3 linked regions of the Macaca mulatta genome follow. The protein of the gene in region 1 interacts with the protein of each later gene in a biochemical or structural test. Links are inferred from orthologs where the notes say so. Each region holds a gene or a part of one and is shown on either strand. Other genes may lie near its edges.

What was found.
Region 2: the proteins of KIT (region 1) and SH2B3 form a complex in vitro, tested with the Homo sapiens proteins (2 studies listed by BioGRID and IntAct, with this or other methods). The link is inferred for Macaca mulatta from reciprocal best matches to the Homo sapiens genes KIT and SH2B3.
Region 3: the proteins of KIT (region 1) and PTPN11 form a complex in vitro, tested with the Homo sapiens proteins (3 studies listed by BioGRID and IntAct, with this or other methods). The link is inferred for Macaca mulatta from reciprocal best matches to the Homo sapiens genes KIT and PTPN11.

What each region holds. Positions count from the first base shown.
Region 1 is NC_133410.1:78,765,780-78,769,424, reverse strand, and holds part of KIT (mast/stem cell growth factor receptor Kit), read left to right. Parts: intron 1-1,677; coding exon 1,678-1,871; intron 1,872-3,080; coding exon 3,081-3,187; intron 3,188-3,278; coding exon 3,279-3,405; intron 3,406-3,645. UniProt on the Homo sapiens protein: Tyrosine-protein kinase that acts as a cell-surface receptor for the cytokine KITLG/SCF and plays an essential role in the regulation of cell survival and proliferation, hematopoiesis, stem cell maintenance, gametogenesis, mast cell development, migration and function, and in melanogenesis.
Region 2 is NC_133416.1:118,611,714-118,615,358, forward strand, and holds part of SH2B3 (SH2B adapter protein 3), read left to right. Parts: intron 1-1,931; 5' UTR 1,932-1,958; coding exon 1,959-2,699; intron 2,700-3,645. UniProt on the Homo sapiens protein: Links T-cell receptor activation signal to phospholipase C-gamma-1, GRB2 and phosphatidylinositol 3-kinase.
Region 3 is NC_133416.1:119,657,041-119,661,439, reverse strand, and holds the start of PTPN11 (tyrosine-protein phosphatase non-receptor type 11), read right to left. Parts: upstream 2,872-4,399; 5' UTR 2,686-2,871; coding exon 2,672-2,685; exon of another isoform or gene 1,400-2,671; intron 1-1,399. UniProt on the Homo sapiens protein: Acts downstream of various receptor and cytoplasmic protein tyrosine kinases to participate in the signal transduction from the cell surface to the nucleus. Positively regulates MAPK signal transduction pathway. Dephosphorylates GAB1, ARHGAP35 and EGFR.

The sequences.
Region 1 (3,645 bases):
TCGAGACCATCCTGGCTAACACGGTGAAACCCCGTCTCTACTAAAAAATACAAAAACCTAGCCGGGCGAGGTGGCGGGCACCTGTAGTCCCAGCTACTCGGGAGGCTGAGGCAGGAGAATGGCGTGAACCCGGGAGGCGGAGCTTGCAGTGAGCTGAGATCCGGCCACTGCACTCCAGTCTGGGCGACAAAGCGAGACTCTGTCTCAACAAAAAAAAAAAAAAAAGAAAATGCAGAAATCACCGGTCTTCTGTGTCGCTCGTGCTGGGAGTTGGAGACTGGAGCTGTTCCTATTCGGCCATCTTGCTCCAAGAGTGTTTTCTTTTGGGGAATACTAAGGAGCCCCTGGGAGGAATGACCACAGCGGAAGCAAGCCCTGTAGTTACAGGCATTAATTCAGTAGATACACAGGGAGTGGCGAGTGTGTACCAGACACTGTTCTAATGGACAGAACATACCCAAGTCTTTTTGCCTTTATGAGTTTATATTCTAGTGCAGGGGTGTTCAATCTTTTGGCTTCCCTGGGCCACATAGGAAGAAAACGACTGTCTTAGGCCGCACATAAAAAACAGTAACACTAATGATAGCTGATGAGCTAAAACAAAAATTGCAAACAAAACTCATAATGTTTTAAGCTTTATGAATTTGTGTTGGGTCGCATTCAAAGCTGTTGTGAGCCACATGTGGGCTGCAGGTGGGACAAGCTTGTTCTAGTGGGTAGAGACACATAATAGATGGAATAAACAGTGAATGTATGTAGGTGTTAAGAAGGGAAACAGGAAATAGCTAGGTGTTTAGAATAGGGAAGTTGGGGTCTGGCTCATGAAAAGATCCCTTGCAGTGGTGGTCTCAGCCACTTGCAGTACAACTAGGCCTTCCTGCTTAGAACTCACACTTCGGTCATCACTCTGACTATTTCCTGGTCTACATTCTTGATTTTTTTGTTGTTGTTGAGACGGAGTCTCACTCTGTTGCCCAGGCTGGAGTACAGTGGAGTGATCTTGGCTCACTGCAACCTCTGCCTCCTGGGTTCAAGTGATTCTCCTGCCTCAGCCTCTGAGTAGCTGGGATTACAGGTGCCTGCCACCACGCCCAACTAATTTCTGTATTTTTAGTAGAGATAGAGTTTCACTGTGTTGGCCAGTCTGGTCTCGAACTCCTGACTTCAGGTGATCTGCCCGCCTCGGCCTTCTAAAGTGCTGAGATTATAGGTGTGAGCTACTGCGCTCAGTCCCTTGAAGATTTTTTATGATTTCCTCCTCTATGCTATTTATTTTCAACCATTCATGTACCCTTTTGAAGCTTGTTTATTTTAGGGATCTGCTGTGTACCAGCATATATGCCTGCCATTTTATTGAATTCCTTTCCAGTCCTTTCAGTAACCCTCTGCAATGGGTATTACCATCCCCGTTTTACAGTGGTAGAAACTCAGTCTTTAACTCATCAGGATTCAAACCCACATCTGACTCCAAAGCCTCCTCTGCCCTTTCTTCTCTTCCCCAGTGCTTTTTTCACTCACTAGGTCACCAAAGTGCTTATTCTTAGACACTTGTAAAAGGACATTTTCTGTTGATTATGAACCTCTAACTTTGTTTTAAAAGTGTGCCACGTCCCAAGGGTCTTATGTATTTATTTATTTTCCTAGAGTAAACCTGGGCTTTTGTTTTCTTCCCTTTAGATGCTCTGCTTCTGTACTGCCAGTGGATGTGCAGACACTAAACGCATCTGGGCCACCGTTTGGAAAACTAGTGGTTCAGAGTTCCATAGATTCTAGTGCATTCAAGCACAATGGCACGGTTGAATGTAAGGCTTACAACGATGTGGGCAAGACTTCTGCCTATTTTAACTTTGCATTTAAAGGTAACAACAAAGGTATATTTCTTTTTAATCCAATTTAAGGGGATGTTTAGGCTCTGTCTACCATATCAATCATGATTTTAAGTTCATTCCAACATTGACCATGTCATTTCTGGTAATACGTACATCACACCATACTGTCATCAAACTCGCTATGTTTCATTTTGTACTAGCTTGTTAAGTATATGTTTTTACCAGAGCACTTTTAACCATGCTACTTTATATATTTTATATGTATGTGCGCCTCTTTTATATTAGTTGTATATTTACAATTGTCTCCATTAAAAAGGGGTAGAGAAAGCAAATGGGGGGGAATATATTTACCTTACACCCAAACAGAATTAGAACAATCTAACATTTAAATTCAATTAAAAATTTCAATTATTTAAAGTGAATTATTTTAACACTTTGCCAGACACTGTATCCAAAAGTTAACACTGCCTTTATGAAGTCATGTTAGCAAGTTATTTCTTTAAAATATTTAAAATTTGATTCATGTGTGACTAACTCTCTTAACATAAGTTAAAAGTTCCTTGTGGGCAAATTGCTGAATTGGTACAAAGTGGGAAGACAAAGAAAGTGGGCACTTACTTTTTAGGCCTTCTTGGGTTTTGTTTGTTTTTTGTGTTTTTTTTGTTTGTTTTGTTTGTTTGTTTGTTTGTTTTTTTGAGTCAGCAAAGACTAGTGCCAAAAAGTGGCGTATTTTCTCAGGTTTTGAGTAATGAGGGGAAGAATCTTCCATTGTTCTACATCATCGATTTTTCAGACGGGGCAACGAAAAGCATACCTTAAAAATGGTGTTTTTTTTTTGTTGTGAAAGACATTCATGCTCAGTGTAGAAAATTTAGAAAATACAGGAAAGTGTAAAGAAGAAAATATAAACCATCCATAAAGGAAGCTTCTTTTTAAAAGTTGTACAAGGCAGGGATTTGATTGAAGTACAAAGTGCATTCAGATGTTGCTTTTCATTGAAAAACAGCATAAATTATTCCTTTTCTACAGAAATCTCAACTTCTATTCTGCAGTATTCTGGTTTCAAGTTATATTTTTAAAGATTCATTTGAATAACAAGAGTACGATGTAACCAAGGTGAAGCTCTGAGAGTCACATAGCTTTGCTTCCTGCCATGGGCTGTGAGTTGGGAGGTCAGTTTGGGAATGAGTGGCTGTGGTAGAGATCCCATCCTGCCAAAGTTTGTGATTCCACATTTCTGTTTGATTTTAGAGCAAATCCATCCCCACACCCTGTTCACTCCTTTGCTGATTGGTTTTGTAATCGTAGCTGGCATGATGTGCATTATTGTGATGATTCTCACCTACAAATATTTACAGGTAACCATTTATTTGTTCTCTCTCCAGAGTGCTCTAATGACTCCGACAATAATTCTTAAAAGGTGATCCATTTTCCCCTTTCTCCCCACAGAAACCCATGTATGAAGTACAGTGGAAGGTTGTTGAGGAGATAAATGGAAACAATTACGTTTACATAGACCCAACACAACTTCCTTATGATCACAAATGGGAGTTTCCCAGAAACAGGCTGAGTTTTGGTCAGTATGAAACAGGGGCTTTCCATGTCACCTTTTTGGGTACACATAACAATGACTTTAAGGAACTCCAGTAGCTTCCTTTGTTTTGTTCCACCTGAAACAATGAGTTTTCTGTGAAATTGCACCCCTTTTGATAGGTTTGGCATAGAGAACATTGTAGGAAAATGTCTCTAGACAAAATTGTTTTTAATTCCTTTATTGATTTTGAAACTACATAAATGATCCTTCAATTCCACCACC
Region 2 (3,645 bases), on another chromosome or scaffold:
ATCTGCCCACTTCAGCCTCCCAGAGTGCTGGGATTACAGGTATGAGCTGCTGCGCCTGGCCCGTTTTATATTTATTTTATAGACACCAATAATATACTCTCATTGCAACATGGAAATAACAATAATAGCAGACAGTCTTTCTTAAGCATTTTCTATGTTCTAGGGCTTTATGTCTATCAATTCATGCTCATAATATGCCTATGAAGTAGGCATGATCATGGTTCCCCTCTTACAGATGGGGAAACTGAGGCAGAGTAGTAGTCACATAAGTCACTTAAGGTCCCATAACCAATAAGTAGTGGTTGCTGGGCTTTTTTTTTTTTTCGAGACAAGGTCTTGCTCTGTAACCCAGGCTGGAGTGCAGTGGCACCATCTCAGCTCACTGCAACCTCCACCTCCTGGATTCAAGCATTTCTCCTGCCCCAGCCTCCTGAGTAGCGGGACTACAGGTACGCGCCACCACAGCCAGCTAATTTTTTTTATTTTCAGTAGGGATGGGGTTTCACCATGTTGGCCGGGCTGGTCTCTACCTCCTGAACTCAAGTAATCCACCCACCTGGGCCTCCCAAAGTGCTGAGATTACAGGCATGAGCCACCGCGTCTGGCTGGTGCTGGGATTTGAATCCACATTCCAGAATCTGTGTTCTTAGCCATCCTTGCTAGAGATAAGTAGTAGCAAGCTTCTTGGTTTCTTCCCCGCCATCCCTACCATCCCCACACCCCAATTCTGATTCCTCCCCAGAAATACTCACTGTTTCAGGATGGGTTTGTTTCTGCCAGACCTTTCTTGCCCACCATTTACAAAATGTTTGTGTACACATAAACATTAGTAGTTTGGTTTTATGTATGTTCATGTTAATGGGATCGTCTAGCGTGTCTTGTTCTGCTGTTTGCTTTTTCACTTAGTGAATAGCCCTGCCCTGGAGCTCTCTCAGAGGTGGGGGGGTGGGTCTTCCTCACCCTTTCCCCCTGCTGCAGAGTCTTCCAGCCTATAGATGGGCCAGATTCTTTCATCAGTCTCCAACTGGGGGCATTTAGGTTGTCTCTTAGAGTTTTTCCCCATTATAAATGTTGCAGCAGGAAATATGTAGCAGGGAGCAAGTATTTCTCTTGAATACTTAAAAGTGGGATTCCTAGAGCCTAATTGCTCTGACTAGGACTGTCAGTACTGTGTTAAATAGAAGTGACCAGAGTGGGCATCCTTTTCTCATCCCTGGCCTTAAAGGAAAAGTTGTCAACTTTTCACCATTAAGTGCAGTGTTAGCTGTGTGCTTATCATGTAGGGTCTTTATTTTATTTATTTATTTGTTTTTTGAGACAGGGTCTCATTCTGTTGCCTGGGCTGGAGTTCAATGGCTGATCATGGCTTACTGCAGCCCTGACTTCCTCAGGCTCCCAAGTAGTTAGGACTACAGGTGCGAGTGCTACAATGCCAACTCATTTTTGTGTTTGTCTTTTTGGAGAGATGGGCTTTTGCCATGTTGCCCAGGCTGGTCTCAAACTGGGCTCAAGCGATCTCCTGCCTCAGCCTCCCAAAGTGGTGGGATTACAGGCGTGAGCCTCCGAGCTCAGCCTTTATATAGGGTCAGTGTGTTAAGTACAACATATCATCTATGCTTAATTTGTTGAAAGTTTTTATAATAAAGTTATGTTGAATTTTGTCAAATACTCTCCCTGCATCTATTGAAATGATAATACGGTTTTTGTCCTTCAAAAGCAGGATTCCAGAGTCTAGAATCAATTCTGCCAAGTTGGCCATGCCCCTTACAGAATGCCACTTGGTAGGAGAGTGTGTGTTTCCCTGCATCTTCACCAGCACTGGGTGTTATGGTCGTGTCGGATTTCTGCTGTGGTTCGCGGTGTGTGACGGGCCGTCACCTGCTTGCCCACCTGCTCACTCCTTGTCGCCCCCCCACCCACATGTCTTTCAGCCCCGCCGCACCACCTGGGTCTCCACCATGAACGGGCCTGCCCTGCAGCCCTCCTCGGCCTCCTCCCCGCCCTCGGCCTCCCCGGCGCCGGCCCCGCGGGGCTGGAGCGAGTTCTGTGAGTTGCACGCCGTGGCGGCGGCCCGGGAGCTGGCCCGCCAGTACTGGCTGTTCGCTCGCGAGCATCCGCAGCACGCGCCGCTGCGTGCGGAGCTGGTGTCGCTGCAGTTCACCGACCTCTTCCAGCGCTACTTCTGCCGGGAGGTGCGCGACGGCCGCGCACCGGGCCGCGACTACCGGGACACAGGCCGTGGGCCCCCCGCCAAGGCTGAGGCGTCCCCGGAGCCAGGCCCCGGCCTCGCCGCCCCTGGCCTGCCCAAGGCCCGCAGCTCTGAGGAACTGGCCCCGCCGCGGCCGCCCGGGCCCTGCTCCTTCCAGCACTTTCGCCGCAGCCTCCGCCACATCTTCCGCCGCCGCTCGGCCGGGGAGGTGCCAGCGGCCCACACCGCTGCCGCCGTCGGGACCCCCGGAGAGGCTGCTGAGACCCCCGCCCGGCCCGGCCTGGCCAAGAAGCTCCTGCCCTGGAGCCTGGCCCGGGAGCCGCCACCCGAGGCGCTGAAGGAGGCGGCGCTGCGCTACAGCCTGGCCGACGAGGCCTCCATGGACAGCGGGGCGCGCTGGCAGCGTGGTAGGCTGGCGCTGCGCCGGGCGCCGGGCTCCGATGGCCCAGATGGCCCCGACCGCGTGCTGGAGCTCTTCGACCCACCCAAGGTAAGTAAGCCCTGCTCGCGGGGTTGCGCACTGTGCCGCGCCCTTCGCCTTCACCCTGGGGAGAGAGCCGGCTGGGGAGGTGTGATGGCTTTCCAGCTGGTGGCCACAGAGTGCCCAGAGGGAACTAGGCCCTCTTAAAAAAGAACTTTTAGGCCAAGTGCAATGGCTCACGCCTGTAATCCCAGCACTTTGGGAGGCCGAAGCAGGAGGATCACTTGAGCCCAGGACTTCGAGACCAGCTTGGGCAGCTTAGCGAGACCCTATCTCTATAAAAAATTAGCCAGGTGTGGTGGTGCGTGCCTGTGGTCCCAGCTGCTCAGGAGGCTGAGAAGGGAGGATGACTTGAGCCCACGAGGTGGAGGCTGCAGTGAGCCGTGATCATGCTACCACACTCCAAGCCTGGGTGACAGAGTAAGACCCTGTCTCTAAATAAATAAAATAAAAAAGAACTTTTTATTTTTGAATTTTAGATTTACAGGCCAGGTGCAGTGGGTCATGCCTGTAACTCCAGCACTTTAGGAGGCCAAGGTGGGCAGATCATTTGAGGCCAGGGGTTCAAGACCAGCCTGGGCAACATAGTGAATCCCTGTTTCTACTAAAAATATAAAAAATTAGCTGGGCACAGTGGCGCACACCTATAATCCCAGCTACTTGAGAGGCTGAAGCAGGAGAATCACTTGAACCTGGGAGGGAAGGTTACAGTGAACCAAGATCACACCACTGTAGTCCAGCCTTGGTGACAGAGTGAGAGTTGGTCTCAAAAAAAAAAAAAAAAAAATTTTAGACTTACAGGAGAGTTGCAAAGATAGTAGTGTTCCTTTACACATGGTACCCAGCTTCACCGAAGGTTCATATCTTACGCTGCTGTGTACATTGGTTGTAGCTAAGGAACCAGCACTGGTACATCACTATTAGCTAAACGCCACTGTTCCTTTGGCTTTGCCAG
Region 3 (4,399 bases), on another chromosome or scaffold:
AAAATGATAAATCATTCAAAATTCTGTGTATTATGTTCATAATCTGGCTTTTTGGGTGGTACACAATACCAGGGCTGGAGGGGAAAAGGAACAACTCCATTTCAAACTGTCATCTTTACCACTTGCTGCTTTGACTATGCCCACACTTCCATGCTTCTAAACTAACAAACTGTACAATGTAGGGTCTATTACTACACAGATCTTTTCCCAACCCTCAGCCCCCTAAAGCAGCAAATCCTTACTTGTCTGGAAGAGCAGACACCAGGAACAAAAGGCTCAATGACTATTAGACAGATTAAAGAATAGACAACTGTTTATTTAAAAGCTCCCTAAAGAATTAGAACATTTGAGGCTATACACTGTTCCGTTGAAATGCAGTTATATATTACCCAGATCCGCAAGCACTTGCCAACAGACCTGTCCAAGTCACTCACTTCCTACGAGTTCTGTTTTCTTTTTTCTCCCCTTTTTAAATTCCAGATCCATGTAAGAATAACATGCCAGGTCTGTTTGGAGGAGACATTCCTAATATTTTGAAAAATCTCATTCAGGCCGGGTGCGGTGGCTCACGCCTGTAATTCCAGCACTTTGGGAGGCCGAGGCAGGCGGATCTCGAGGTCAGGAGTTTAAGACCAACCTGGCCAACATAGTGAAACCCCGTCTCTACTAAAAATACAAAACTCGGCCGGGCACGGTGGCTCATGCTTGTAATTCCAGCACTTTGGGAGGCCGAGGCGGGCGGATCACAGGGTCAGGAGATCGAGACCATCCCGGCTAACATGGTGAAACCCCGTCTCTACTAAAAATACAAAACATTCGCCAGACGTCGTGGCGGGCACCTGTAGTCCCAGCTACTTGAGAGGCTGAGGCAGGAGGATGGCTTGAACCCAGAAGGCGGAGCTTGTAGTGAGCCGAGATTGCGCCACGGCACTCCAGCCTGGGCAAGAGAGCGAGACTCTGTTTCAAAAAAAAAAATTAGGCCGGGCGCAGTGGCTCAAGCCTGTAATCCCAGCACTTTGGGAGGCCGAGACGGGCGAATCACGAGGTCAGGAGATGGAGACCATCCTGGCTAACACAGTGAAACCCCGTCTCTACTAAAAAATACAAAAAACTAGCAGGGCGAAGTGGCGGGCGCCTGTAGTCCCAGCTACTTGGGAGGCTGAGGCAGGAGAATGGCGTGAACCCGGGAGGCGGAGCTTGCAGTGAGCTGAGATCCGGCCACTGCACTCCAGCCTGGGCGACAGAGCATGACTCCGTCTCAAAAAAAAAAAAAAAAAAAATTAGCCAGGCATAGTGGCATGCCGATAGTCCCAGCTACTTGGGAGGTTGAGGCAGGAGAATCGCTTGAACCTAGGAGGCGGAGGTTGTGGTGAGCCGAGATCGTGCCACTGCACTCCAGCCTGGGCTGTTAACAGAGTGAGACTCCGTCTCAAAAAAAGAGAAAAAAAAAGAAAGAAAAAAAAATCTCATTCAAATAGCCTCAATAGCTTGAATCGTTTTTTAAATGTCTGAGACAGTGACCATAATTGAACAACCATGGAAAAGAATAGACAATGGGTCTTAAGTGTGAGTGGTATATAGAGTGATTATATAAAATAGCAGGATCATTATCTGAAAACAAGTCACACTACTGTTTGACAACAAAATTAAGGCTTACAAGTGGTTAGCAATAGTTACAAAATAATAGAAGCAACATAGTGATTAAAAGTAGGGATTCTGTCTCCACCACCTACTAGCTGTGAGGTTAAGCAATCTACTTAACCTCTCCGAAACTCGGTTTACTCATCTTTACAATGGGGATAATAGTAGCCATCTGAGAGGGCTGTCGTCAGAATTAAGCAAATGTTAGCTATTAGTAGTAATATTACCCTGATCTTTCAAAGGATCTCATTAACTCACTAATTCTCCTTAGTTTCAAATCTTGTCATTTACTAGCATGTTGCTTCTGGGCCTCGGTTTCCTCATCCATAAAACGGGTACCAGTAAAGTGACCTGACTGTTAAGGTTGCAGTGAAGGATTAAATAACGAGATGCGGCTCCCTTCCTTTCCATCTCCCAAAGCGAATATCGCAAAGGAAGGAAATACTTCTAGTGGCTGCAGATACAGTCAGTTTTTCCATTTCTGGCACGTGAGGGGTGGGAGAAAAAGAAGACACAAAGGGGCACATAAAAGGGTCAGGGGTCCTTCGTTAAGACCCCAAATGCACGCAAGTGGCACAGTGACCCAGAACGACTAGACCACTGGGGGCCCGGCCCCGCGCAACTCCCATCTCGTGTCCCAAGGAGCCTCCCCAAGTGAGCAGGGTTATTTCGGAATCACCATGAGGCAATTCTCATGAGGCAATGGGTCAGGAATGCGGCGCTGAGCCGGGCCGCTGGCGCCCGTGGTTCCCTAGGCGGCTCTACCTGCCCCAGGCCTGACGGGCATCCCCCGGGCTGCCGCAGCCGGAACTCAGGGAGGCAGGAAATGAATGGGGACCCAAGGGGTGGGGGCGCGGTGGGGCCGGCCCCCGGGCCGAGGAGGGACAGGGGACGAGGAGGGAACTGGCCCCCAATCCCGATCCGGGGCGGGAGCCCGAAGCCCGGCCGGGGCGCCCCCTTCCGGACGGGGCTGACCGAATGCGGCGGGGGCCGGGCCGAGGCCCGGGCCGGGCCCCTCGGGGCTCCTCACCTCCGCGATGTCATGTTCCTCCCGCCCTCCGGCTCCGCGACGGACCCGCTCCTTGCTCAAGCTCCACTAGGCTCGGTCACATCGGGCTGGCCCGAGGGAGGCCCGCTCGGGACCGGACGCGGGGCAGAGCCAGCCGGCCGCGCACAGACCCCCCTCCAGGCCTGGGGATCCCGGAGACTGTGCAGCCGCCCCCCAGCCCGGCTCGCTCCTCCTCCGCCCCCGCCCTTCGCCGCCGTCGCCCCCGTGATGTCACCGCTAGCGACGCCCGCCGCCACTTCCTGCTTCCCGTTAGCCGAGGACGGAGCCACGGCCGGGAATGGCAGCGCGGGGGTTCCGCGGAGGCGCTAAGCGCAGCGTCCAAAGCATCCTTGCTTCCTCCCGGAAATCGCGGCCGCCGGGTGTGAGCTGCGCGCTCGGCGGCTACGCCACTCCACCGACCGGGCGCGTCCGGGCCCACTGCCACATCGATTTCATTCATTTCGTTCCACAAATCGCCACTCGACTCATTAGCTGTGGAACCTTGGGGAAATTACCTACTGTCTCCGAGCCTCAGTTTCCTCCATTAGGCTGGGCGCGGTGGCTCACGCCCGTAACCCCAACAATTTAGGAGGCTGCAGCAAGAGTGTCGCTTAAGCCTAGGAGCTAGAGGCCAGCCTGGGCAAAAAAGACCTCATCTCTACAAAAAATGCAAAACCCTAGCCAGGCGTGGAGGCTGCGGCGGGAGGATAACTTAAGCCCGGGAAGTCGGTGCTGCAGTGAGTCGTGATCACGCCACTGCCCTCCAGCCTGGGCGACAGCAAGACACTGCCTAAAAAAACTAGTAATAGACCGGGCGCGGTGGCTCACGCCCGTAATCCCAGCACTTTGGGAGGCCGAGGCGGGCGGATCACGAGGTCAAGAGATCGAGACCATCCTGGCCAACATGGTCTCCACTAAAAATTCAAAAATGAGCTGGACGTGGTGGCGTTCGCCTGTAATCTCAGCTACTTGGGAGGCTGAGGCAGGAGAATCGCTTGAACCTGGGAGGCAGAGGTTGCAGTGAGCCGAGGTCGCACCACTGCGCTCCAGCCTGCAATAGAGCCAAACTCCGTCTCGATAATAATAATAACAAATACTACTTTGGGGTGGGAGCAGTGGCACACGCCTGAAATCCCAGCACTTCCCTTTGGGAGGCTGAGGCGGGCGAATCGCTTGAGTCCAGGAGTTGGGAACCAGCCCCGGCAAAATAGTGAAATCCCATCTCTACAAAAAATACAAAAATTAGCCGGGCGTGGTGTCACGCGCCTGTAGTCCCAGCTACTCGGGAGGCTGAGGTGAGAGAATTGCTTGAGCCTGGAGGGTCGAGGCTGCTGTGAGCCGAGATCAGGCCACTGCACTCAGGCCAGGTATGGTGGCTCACACCTTCATCCCAGCACTTTGGGAGGCCGAGGCAGGAGGATTGCTTGAGCCTAGGAGTTCAAGATCAGCCGGGGCAACATGGCACGACCCTGTCTCTAAAACAAAAAACAAACAAACGAAAAAGCTGGGTGGTGGGGAAGTATTATTTTGGACACTGTGAAGCTCGAGGAAGAGGGCAAGGCCAGAAACGGAGAAGCCAGTCAAAATACGGGAATACTGTAGTATTCTGGTCTGGGAATAATGGTGACTCAGACCAGATTGAGAAGAGTAGAGTTTTTTTACTTGATTGATGCCCATATAACTCATTGAAGGCTACAGATCTAGCTGGGT